Linked DNA regions of Caenorhabditis elegans. The protein of the gene in region 1 purifies or fractionates together with the protein of each later gene. This does not show direct contact. Each region holds a gene or a part of one and is shown on either strand. Other genes may lie near its edges. The genes, in order: nol-14 and art-1.

Evidence for each region.
Region 2: the proteins of nol-14 (region 1) and art-1 fractionate together in Caenorhabditis elegans (co-fractionation; one large-scale study listed by BioGRID). This does not show direct contact.

Annotation. Positions count from the first base shown.
Region 1 is NC_003279.8:321,957-330,016, reverse strand, and holds the start of nol-14 (Nucleolar protein 14), read right to left. Parts: upstream 6,163-8,060; 5' UTR 6,158-6,162; coding exon 6,083-6,157; intron 6,039-6,082; coding exon 5,777-6,038; intron 5,729-5,776; coding exon 5,364-5,728; intron 4,719-5,363; coding exon 3,969-4,718; intron 3,059-3,968; coding exon 2,772-3,058; intron 2,171-2,771; coding exon 2,038-2,170; intron 1-2,037. Other genes in the region: xpo-2 (Exportin-2), read left to right, coding at 6,665-6,874, 6,924-7,232, 7,629-8,060.
Region 2 is NC_003280.10:6,970,194-6,974,120, reverse strand, and holds art-1 (putative very-long-chain enoyl-CoA reductase art-1), read left to right. Parts: upstream 1-1,885; 5' UTR 1,886-1,886; coding exon 1,887-2,004; intron 2,005-2,048; coding exon 2,049-2,279; intron 2,280-2,323; coding exon 2,324-2,463; intron 2,464-2,753; coding exon 2,754-3,063; intron 3,064-3,117; coding exon 3,118-3,245; 3' UTR 3,246-3,376; downstream 3,377-3,927. Other genes in the region: sod-1 (Superoxide dismutase [Cu-Zn]), read left to right, coding at 241-288, 620-703, 747-905, 950-1,103, 1,148-1,245; C15F1.5 (RING-type domain-containing protein), read left to right, coding at 3,536-3,592, 3,640-3,768. UniProt on the Caenorhabditis elegans protein: Catalyzes the last of the four reactions of the long-chain fatty acids elongation cycle. This endoplasmic reticulum-bound enzymatic process, allows the addition of 2 carbons to the chain of long- and very long-chain fatty acids/VLCFAs per cycle.

The DNA.
Region 1 (8,060 bases):
TTGAAAATTCGCTGAAAATTAGAATTTTTCTAATTTTTATATTTTAAATGACTAATTTCAAATTTTTTGAAATGAATTTTAATTTTTTTAAGTTTTAAAGCTTTTTGAAGCTGAAATGACCAAAATTGCTTCTAAAATTTTTTTGAAATGCTGCAGCTTCATTGCGTCCACCGAGATTTCACCGTTGAAGAGTGATTTCCCTCGATTTTTATTAGTTTTTCGTCGATTTTTCTATTTCAAAATGATAACAATTATAAAGTAGACTGAACCGAAAGTGGAGAAACAAAAATTATCGGAAACCGTTCGGTGGAAATGCATAACGAACTGTTTGAAAATAACAACTGAATTTTCGGATTTTTTAAAATTAAATTTTTATTTGTTTTTCTCATAACCTGCAATGATAACGTTTATAGAGCAAACTTTTCTCGTCATTTTAAGATATAATTCGTCTATGTACCTGTTGAAAGAACTCAGATCGAACTCTTTTTGTGAAATCCAGTTATAATTTTTCGTTAAAAAGAGGAGCTAAAAGTTATTAATCTGAATTAAAAAGAGTCGAGACAGTGAATCTAATTAATATTTGGTATTTTATTAGAGCAATACACGTATTAAACATTTTATCATGGGTTTTTCGGCTCCAATTTTGTTGGCACAATATTTTATTTCTTGCCACATACTACTGTACGTTTGGGCTCAAATAAGCCATACAAAGTGCTGAACTATGAAGAATAATGTTTCAACATTACATTACTTACAAAAAATCAGATTGAAAGCAATGTTTTCAGTCTTTCTTGGCTTTTTTCAACATAACTTAGTATTACCATCTTATTCTGTGCCTCAACTTAATCGTTACAAGTTTGAATTCTTGAGAAAACTGTATTTAAAACCTATTAAGGCTTTTCAAAACTCAAATATATAAAAACGGTATCTTCTTAAGCTTTCGTTTTTAGTTTCCAATACTTTCCTTTCAGTAAGGCTTGAAATTTTTGGAAGCTTCACTGCTAGTTTCCCACTTCACGATTTTCCAATTTCAACTTGTTAAAACTGGCAAGATCACAGAAAAAGCCACACTTCCATGATAAAATCACAGAAAATTAAAGAAATTGGGCTGAATGTCTCAGATTTAGTGATTCTGGCACATGATCATTTCTCAAAACTTCAATTCAAAAATAAAATTGTTTGTGACCAAACCTTCATTTCTTATTTGACTTTCAGGCTATATATTTAATTATATTTCTTAATTGTCTTCAAATTTTTTTGAGATTTCCCCACTTTATGTAGTGAAAACAAAGATAAACTTCTTATTTTCTCAATTTTTCAATAAATTTAACCTTTTGCAGCAAGGTATTCTCTTTTTAACTGAGAAAACTATTTTAAAAATTCATTTCATCATCTTTCCTTTGCTTTCTCAAGAAAATTTCATAGAAGAAATGAATTTTTTCCGCAAAAATAATTCAATATTCAGAAGTGCGCCAGCACGCGAAAGGCGCATCGGTGAAACGCGCAAGCAATCTCCCTCCCCCTTCGTTTCCACCCGAGGAGACCGTGTTTCCTAAAAAAAAAATTTCAAAATCGCTGAAACTTAAATTTTTTTGGCTCTCGGCAATTTTTTTTGTTTTTTTTTAACCGTTTTGTATGTGCAAAATTGATATTTAATTTGTTAAAAATAGAAAATTCGGAAAAAAACTTGATTTTCGTTTTTCAATCGGTGGTTTTTCGGTTTTTCAGAAATCTATTAAAAAATTATTTTTCGGAAAATTGCTTTTAAAAAATTTCAAGCAGTTTTATACAAGAAAAAGTGAACATTTTATCATTGGCAATTTTGTGAAAATTTAAAATTTAATTTTAAATTTTTCAAAACTAAATTTTCAAAAAAAAATCATTTTTATTTGAACAAAATTTTTAATTTATATTATAAAATTCGATTTTGCCAGTTTTTTTTTTAAATATTGAGCGTTTTTAAGCAAATTTTTTTAAAGAGAAAACCAAAAAAAAAAACCAATTTTTTGCTCAAAAAAACAAATTTTATAAATTTACCTTCTCCTCAAAGCATAACATTTCCGTGTGTGGCTTGGAAATCGGGAATCCATTTGTCGCGAATTTCTCACTTTTCTCTGTAACTGCAAGCAGAAGAGCACTTCGAGCAAATGCGACCAGCTCGGGGACGTATCTGAAATTTATTTTATTGAAAACAATTTTCAACTTTCGGATTTTTCGTAAAAATGGAGTTCGGTTTTTTTTTTAATTTCAAAATTTTGATACGCTTCGATAATTCGGTTTTTTAAATTTTTTTAAAAGAGACGAGAGATTTTTTAAAAATAGAGAAATGACCGGAAGATTTTTGAAAAATTGCAATTTTTTCTAAAAAATTAATTTAAAAAAAAACGGGATTTTTGTATTTTTTCAATGTTTTCTGATCTAAAAATTGCCAAAACAAAATTTATATCAATTTTTGAAAAATTCGCTTTTTTTTAACATTAAAATGGAAAATTAATGCAATTATTTGTTAAAAAATGAACTTCAGAAAAAAAAATCAAGTTATATTTTAAAAAATTGCTTTTTTGAATTTTTATAGTAATCTTTTTTCGATATCGAAAAAAATAGATTTTTTTAAGCGACAATTCTGAATTTTAAATTTTTTGAGTTAGCTTTTGAAAATAATATTTTTGGTGGTTTTGGCTTTTTTTTTCGTTACTTTTCCTATTTTATATCAAAGCTTTCAGTATTTTTTTCAAAATTTGCCTATTTAAATGTTCGTTTCCAAGTATTACCTCTTGGATTCAGACACATATTCAACAATAGCATTAGCCAATTGAATTTGTTTAGCCAACGCATTCAAATTGGCACATTTCGCCGAGCAAAGTGCTTCAGTTGCCAAAAAAAGAGCCGGAACCACTACAGGATGCCAGGAATCGGCAACTGGGAAGAGGCCGGAAACAAGACGAATTGCAGAGATTAATCCAAATGACACTGGGCTACTCTTCTGTTTATCCTGGCGGCCTTTCCAGTGTTGACGGATTAGAGCACGCACACATCGGACTCCGTATTGAATGTCGAACTGCAAAAAACAATTTGAAATTTTTTTCAATTGTTGAATTTTTTGCGTTTTTTAATCTGAATTTTTAATATTATTTTCTTTATTTTCAGGATTTTCCATATTTTTTTTCTGAAATTTTAATGATTTTTTATATAATGTTTCTTTAAAAATATTTCCATGATCGTTTCCTATTTTTAATGATTTTTTTCTTAAATTTTCATGATTTTCCTGGTTTTTCTTTTTTTTTTCGAGACTGATTTTCAAAAAAAAAAGGTTTTAATTTCACATGATTTTTCTCAAAAAATCGGGGCTTTTTTGCAATTTTTGGGTCAAACATTCGGGTATTTTTTTTAATTTTTTGGCCAAAGTTTTTGGAATTTATTGCAATTTTTAGGTCAAAAAATTCGGGGATTTTAAAACATTTTTTGGTAAAAAATTCGGGACTTTTTTGCAATTTTTGGGTCTAAAAATCGAGACTTTTTTGCAATTTTTCGGTCAAAAATTCGGGGATTTTAAAACATTTTTTTGTAAAAAAACCGGCTTTTTTGCAATTTTTAGGTCAAAAATTCGGGGATTTTAAAACATTTTTTGGTAAAAAATTCGGGACTTTTTTGCAATTTTTGGGTCTAAAAATCGAGACTTTTTTGCAATTTTTAGGTCAAAAATTCGGGGATTATAAAACATTTTTTGGTAAAAATATCGGGACTTTTTTGCAATTTTTGGGTCTAAATATCGAAACTTTTTTGCAATTTTTAGGTAAAAAATTCGGGGATTTTAAAACATTTTTTGGTAAAAAATCGGGACTTTTTTGCAATTTTTGGGGTATAAAAATCGGGAATTTTTCAAAATTTTAGGTCAAAAATTCTCGAATTTTTTCAATTTTCAGATTAAAAAGTGCGGTAATTTTTCAGCTTTTCCATCCAATCGCTACCTTCATCAACGCATGCATAGTTTCCTGCGCTAAATTCATTTCCTTCACACTTTCCGCTGTCAATTCCTCCTTCGACATATCATCAAACCATCTTAAACACAAGAGGAAAAGCTTATTCAGACGCTTCTTATTTCCTTCTTTAAGGCTCGGATGATGACATTTCACGAGTCGTTCCAGCACTAAATCCATCGATTCCGAGTGTTTTTCCAGAAGAGCACAGAATTTTTTATAGTTTTTCGGCATTTCGAATACGAATGGCAGAGTTTCAGCGGGTTCTGGAGCAGATTTTTTCGCTTTTTTGACGACTTTTTGGGCTTCCTGAGCTTCCTCATCATCGGAATCTTCTTCCAGCTCATCCTCATCTTCCAGTAGATCATCCAGATCCTCTTCCTCATCTTCTAGATCCTCGTCATCGTCAGATTCATCAGAACCATCCAGATTTTTCTTTAAAATCCTGGATTTTTCCACCGTATCCTCATCGATCAGGCCACCTTCATCGTCAAATTTGACCTCAAATCTCGAATTTTTCGCCTGAACTTTTCTGGCGTCGGCCTTCGATCCAGCATCGATATCAACGTCGGCATCGGCTGATAAATGAGATTTTGCGTTGAAAAATGCATTATTTTTCGAGATACGGGCGGCCTCGAGAGTTTCCAGACGTTCTTTTTCTTTCAGAGCTTCTTCTTCTTCGGATAGCTTACGATCTGCTGGGGTGGCACGAGCGTCGGCTTCGGTTTTCAAGGTGATTGTCTGGAAAAATAATAATTTTTGGATAAAAAATGGAATAAAACCTATTTTTCTTGATTTTTTAGGCGAAGAAACAAAAAAAAAGCCTTTTTCTATCATTTTTTAAACAAAAAAATTGGCTTTTTCTTAATTTTTTTGTCGAAAAATAGTTATTTTAAATTGTTTTATTTTGTAAAAAAACGACTTTTTTAAAGTTATTTTTCGGCGAAAAATTTATTTTTTTAAATTAAAAATTGCCTTTTTCGTCATTTTTGTCAAAAGAAAAACCGACTTTTCTCGAATTTTTGTCAAAAAAATTGACTTTTTAATGATTTTTCGTCAAAAAAATTCTCAGTTCAGCTCAATTTCTTTCGCGATAAGAAGTTAAATGTTTTATTTTTCACTTCAAATTGCACAAATTCCGAAATAATTTTACAGTGTTTTCTCTGATTACAAAGCTAAAACTTGGATTTCTTCAACTTTTACAGCAAAATTAATGAAAATTTCCAATTTCCATAGCAAAAATGGTTAAAAATTAGCATTTTCAGATCAAGTTTTTTGGGTTTTAGGTTTTCCACTAAAAAATTGTGAAAAAAATCGATTTTCACTCTAAATTTATAATTATCTTTTATCTTAAAAATTTGGAGAAAACCGGGATGTTTCCCGTACCAATTTGTCGTAATCATCTTTTTCCAGCGGCTGGCGCCCGGTCGGCCTAAATGAAGCCTTCATTTTGCCCATCAAAGCCTGATACTTGGAATCCAACGACTCTGTCATCAGCTCGAGCTCATCCTTCTGCTGTTGCTTCTCGTGACGCGCCAGCTTCGTTTTCGCAATCAAATTCGAAATCATATCCTCTCGGCTGATTTTTTCGCGGACGTGCTCCTCGGCGGTCTTCTCTCCACCACCGAAATGAGCCACTTTTACCATATTTGAGCCCAAATTTCCCGGCTCTTCATCGTCATCCGAGTCGGAAATCATCGATTTGTCGTATTTTTCAATGTCCGAGAGCGCTTTTCCCTTGTGAGTAAGTACTGAAATTTACTTTATTAAAATTTTTCTCAATTTATTTCGGAATAAACCTTCTTCCTCCTCATCTCCATCATCTGTCAAGTTGAATTTCGATGCTCTTTTATAATTTTTGACTCTTTCCTCTGTGAATCTCATCGCGCCCTTCTCCTCCTCGCTTTTTCCGTCCTTTTCGCCGAGCCGTTTGTCGACAATTTTGCTAATCTTATTTTTCCGGTCATATTCTACGCCTAGCGTCTGTTCACGTTGCTCGTGAGCTCGTTTTCGTGACGCAGTCGGTGCTCCAACTTGTGCGCCCTTTTTCCGGCCGAGAATCTGCGAGAAAATCGATTTTTTCTTCAAAACTCTGAAAAACTCACGTCATGCTTGGATTTGTTGAATTTTAGCTCGAATGGATTGGTTTTTCGTTGCTTTTGCTTTTTATCAACACCCATGTTTGCTGAAAATGCGAAAAATTAGGGGGGAAACAGAGAAAAAACCAGGGGTATCCAGGAAAATTTAAGAATAAAAATTGGGAAGTTTGCGCGTCAAGTCGTGCGCATTGTACGCAACGACGCCTTTATTTTGCAAAGTTTTGAAAATTGAAATGTTTTAATTTATTTTTTTATGCACGTTTTGCTGAAAAAGTGGAAAATTTGAAGAAAATCAAGGGAAAACTAGGAAAAATCAGTAAAAATCAGTGAAAACAGAGAACATAATGAAAAAAATTTGCGCGTCGGGTCGGGTGCGCTGTACGCAAACACTTCACACTTTTGAAATTTTTTTTTTATTTTTGCGAATTTTTGCGAGTTTATTCCCCGCGGGCCTGCGAAAAATTGCGTAAAACTTTAATATTTTGACCGGAAATTTTAGATTTCAAGTTTTAAGCTAAACTATCTTTGTCCTTTCACCTAATTCTTCCCTATTTCACCCCCAAAACAGCTATTTTTCCCTATTTTCAGATGGAGCAAATCGGAGCAGCTCTCCAGCAGACTCTGGAGCCGGATGCTGCGATTCGCAAGCGTGGAGAAGAAGCGCTCCGCTCGCTGCAATCAAATCCAGGCTATATCATTCAAATTCTTCAACTGGTGGTCAACGAACAGCAACAAATTGCTCCGCAGATCCGAATCGCCGCGGCTGTCGCTTTGAAAAATTTTGTGAAGAGAAATTGGGTTGGAAAATTTGAATAAATGCGTGAATTTTATATTTAAATTGTTTCAGGGCCCGGCACCAGAGGTAGAAATGGGCCAGGAAGACGAGGAGCAGTTCAGAAGCATGCTTCTCGAAGCGATGTTCAATACAAAATCAAATGTTCAGGAAATCCTGTCCAATGCTCTGTATCTCATCGCTCAGAGAGATTTTCCCGAAAAATGGCCAGATTTGGTTCCATATTTGTCGAAATTCCTGAACGGAGCGGATCTCAATCACCTGGTGGCCTCGCTGGCGTCGATGGAGCAGATTTTCCGCAAATTCCGATTCGAATCCAAGTCAGCAGAGCTTTGGAAAGAGCTGAAGAAGTGTCTACTGAGCGTGAGTTGCGTTTTGGCTCAAAATTTGGCTAATTTCAGCTAAAATCCCCAATTTTGGCCACTTTTTTACGTCGCAGCCGTCGGAAGTTGAATTTTTGTCCGCTTTGACCCTAAAAAATGACCAAAATTAGACATTTAAGCTAGCTAAAGCTGGCCTTGTTTTCCGAAAAATCGTGAAAAATTCAACATTTTATGATTTTTTAGTCAAAAATTTTAACTAAAGCAAAAATGAGGAATTTTTGGCGAAAATTGATAATTTTCCTATAAAAATGGACAAATTTTCAAAATTTTTGAGCCAAAAAATTGAAGAAATCTGAATGTCAGTCTCGAATTTGGACCGAAAAACTGTTTTCTCCCCAGATTTTTCAGTTACAAATAAAAAGAACCGATTTTTCAGACCCAAGAGCCTCTAACTCTGTTGCTACGGAACATGATGGAGGTGGGACAGCGGAAGGATCAACTCGGAGCCGACGAGATCGCCCAATGGCTCCGAGTCTTACTTCTCATTGCAAAAGTCTACCATTCTCTGTGCTCACAGGAGATTCCGGAATACTTCGAGGATCATCTCAAGGACTGGATGCCACACTTCTTGCATCTCGTGCAAATCGACGCGCCGACGCAGACCTCCAACTCGGGAGAACCTACAACTCTGGACGAGCTTAAGCACGAGATCTGTGAGATCTTCACGCTCTACTCGCAACGCTACGAGGAGGAGATCTCCGAGTTCGTGCCCGACATCATCCTTGCCGTCTGGAATCTGCTCAAGTCTACCGGCCCCGACACTCGATACGATACGATGGTGTGCGCCGCGCTGGAATTTCTGTCGATG
Region 2 (3,927 bases), on another chromosome or scaffold:
AAACGATTCTCCACTCCCGGTTTTCTTCCGATTCTCAAAATTAATTAAAATTTAGTTATTAAAAATCCTTTTTCTTGAAATAATCGTTCAATTTCGAGTTTTCAAGAGTGGAGACGTTGAATTTGTGAGCCGCTTATTTTTTCTGTGTTTTTGTTTTGTGGTTTTTAATCAGTGTCATAATCATACTTTCCATTGTTTCTTTATTATTCAAAGTTGTAGATTCAGTATTTTAGATCGGTGATGTTTATGAATCTTCTCACTCAGGTCTCCAACGCGATTTTTCCGCAGGTCAGTGCTTATCCGAAACATTCGTCATTCGCAACTTGGGCCTATTTGATCTATGGCGTTGTGTTGTTGCCTTTACCTTAATTATCATCATTTTCATCAGAAACCCACAAAAACTAGAGACATAGCTACAAAATTCTGCGACCGAGAGGCGGGTACACACACAATGTTGTCTATTTCATCTCGCTCCACCTTCTCTCTCTCTCTCTCGTGTTTACCATTTCTTTTTTAATTTTGCATCTATCGACTGTGATCTGCCTGTTTTTTTCTAATTCTAAACTTTTTGCCGTGATATTCCTTAGAGTGTTCCCTAGAAAATTCGTTGAATTTACAGGTCGAAGCCGCTCAAAAAATGTCGAACCGTGCTGTCGCTGTTCTTCGTGGAGAAACTGTTACCGGTACTATCTGGATCACACAGGTTAGCCGAGTTTTCCGCTTAAATCATTTGTATTCTTTTTCAGAAGTCCGAAAATGACCAGGCAGTTATTGAAGGAGAAATCAAGGGACTTACTCCCGGTCTTCATGGATTCCACGTTCACCAATATGGTGATTCCACCAACGGATGCATTTCTGCCGGTCCACACTTCAATCCATTTGGAAAGACTCATGGTGGACCAAAAGTATGGAAATTTTTTATATCGCTTGAATTATAATATTTTTTCAGTCCGAGATCCGTCACGTAGGCGATCTAGGAAATGTGGAAGCTGGAGCCGATGGAGTGGCAAAAATCAAGCTCACCGACACGCTCGTCACGCTTTACGGTCCAAACACTGTCGTTGGCCGATCTATGGTTGTTCATGCCGGACAAGACGACCTCGGTATGAACAATTCGAATTAAAAATCAATTTAGTAAACTTTCCAGGCGAGGGAGTCGGAGACAAGGCAGAAGAGTCCAAGAAGACTGGAAACGCCGGAGCTCGTGCTGCCTGCGGTGTCATTGCTCTCGCTGCTCCCCAGTGACTACCTGAATCGCGTCTCTGAATCTCCACACAATTCCTACTAAAGACAATTTTTCATTTCTTGCTTTGTCGTTATATTCTTAAGAATCCCGTTGTTCCTACTCCTACTACTGTATATTTTCACATAAAATTTCTTCAAAATTTCAAATAAAGGTTGTAGTTTCCAATTTCTATGTTTTACAAATCTCAATGTCTCTGCTCATTATATCAATACTTCACTTTTCAGTTTTGTTACCAAACTGCCATAAATGTTGTGCCAGCCGTTAAACTATCAACAAGTTCTGACGGAGAAGGGCGATTTTTCGAGCAGTTGAATAAGAATCACCTGATAATGAGGCTATTTCAAAAAACGTTTAAATATTATCGCTTTTCCCTTATTTAAGGCAGACAAAAATCTTTGAAAATATAATAATTTCTATTTTTTAATGCATTTAGTAAATTTTATTTCGAGGTCGTTCGTTTCAATTGGCATTTTCACAATGCTTCTCTTCTTTTTTTATCAGTTCAATTGATAGCGACCCGTAAAAGAAAATCACACCATTTTTATAATAGTGGACTGCAAAAAATTCGTTTCTTTCTGAATAGAGCCAGTTTTTGTGAAAATTCCTTTTTTTCAGTTTATATAAAACCTCAATTTTCAGAATGAGTGGGATTCTGGAGGTTTATGACGCAAAGCGTACGGACAATCTCATCATCACCCTCGAGGGAATTTCTGGATCCGAAACGATCAAAGCTATCAAGAAGCGAATTGCCCAGAAAAGTTTGTGAATCGAAATTTATGATTTATTAGCTAAATAATTTCAGAGCTGAAACTCACCGAAGAACGTCAGGCTCTCCGTGTCGAACCAAAGGGTAAACCATTGGCTGATGACCAAAAACTCTCCGATCTTGGACTTTCATCTCAAAAAGCAGTTTTATATGTAAGAGATCTCGGACCACAAATCGCCTGGAAGACTGTCTTCATGGCTGAGTATGCTGGACCTTTGTTCGTTTATCCGCTTTTCTATCTTCGACCAACTTTCATTTATGGACAAGGTGAGCCGGATTAATATTATTTCACACAATATCTTACATTACAGCCGCTGTCAATGCTACCATGCATCCAGCAGTACAAATCGCCTTCTTTGCATGGAGCTTCCACTACGCCAAGAGATTGTTCGAAACTCAATTCATCCATAGATTCGGAAACTCGACTATGCCACAGTTCAATTTAGTCAAGGCATGTTTCAAAAATAAAAATAAAAACAATTGAGTAAAAAGTAATAAGGGACACTAATAGTAAGTTGCAAAAGTTGCGTTGATGAAAAAATTATTTTACGCTCTACGGCAATTTTCAATCTGAAATATAGCAACAAAAAAAAACTAGTAAAAACGTTGAATATGCCTAAAATTCAAAGTTAGAATATTTCGTACAACTTTAGGTAGTTTTAGTAGAGAATTTTGAAACGGACAAGATTAAAAATAAAATTCACTAATCGATAAACAAATTTCTATTTCCTGAATTTTCAGAACTGCTCCTATTACTGGGGATTCGCTGCCTTCGTCGCCTACTTTGTCAATCACCCACTTTTCACACCACCAGCTTTCGGAGATCTTCAGGTTTATTTCGGACTTGCCGGTTTCGTGATTTCGGAGTTTGGAAATCTCTCGATCCACATTCTTCTCCGCAACCTCCGTCCAGCTGGAACCCGCGAACGTCGTATTCCAAAGCCTGATGGAAATCCACTTTCTCTCCTCTTCAACTACGTTTCGTGCCCGAACTACACATATGAGGTCGCATCATGGATCTTCTTCTCCATTATGGTCCAATCTCTTCCAGGTAAATAAAAAACTTGTAAATATAATTGATTTTATTCATAATCTTAAAATTTAGCAATCATCTTCACCACCGCTGGATTCGCTCAAATGGCAATCTGGGCCCAAGGAAAGCACCGCAACTACCTCAAGGAGTTCCCAGATTACCCAAAAAATCGCAAGGCCATCGTTCCATTTGTTCTCTAAATTATCGCATTTGCGCCGAATATTTATTGTATTTTTCATGTACTCTTGCAGTTCTATTATTACCAATCCGCTTATTTCAATCAGTAATTTATTAAATAGACAATTTCTCCAGATAAATGTTTGCTTGAAAAATGTTGCAAGTCTTGGTTGGTGAAAAAAAAGCGTTAATAAAAGAGAAAAAATGTTTAAATAAAAATAACGTGATATTGTTTTTTACATCGAAAATTTAAAATGTTCCCGACTTCAATGTAGAAAGAAGATTATTTCGAAATATTTCAAGTTATCCAAAGATGTCAATTTGGTGTGCAGTTTGCAATGATTTAAAACCATGTGAAGAAGCAACTCAAGTGAGATTATTGCATTATTCTCAGCCATACGGATTCAAATTTTCCAGTTGATTCCCTGTTTGCACACATTCTGCACAAAATGCCTCAAAAAATCAACCAAAAAGATGCGTGTCTGTCCAGTTGCACATTGTTACTCGAGTCTTACAGCTCCTGAACCAATGACAAGCACTTGCGAAGTTAGTAATTACAAAGATTCGAACTTTTATGACTTTTCCGCCAAAGATACGGTCTCGAAACGGCAATTTCGTTAATTTCAAGTTGGTGCGCGTCTTTGAAGGGTACTGTAGTCTTGTGAACTCTCGTTGCCACGGAATTTGAATCGAAATATTTTTCAA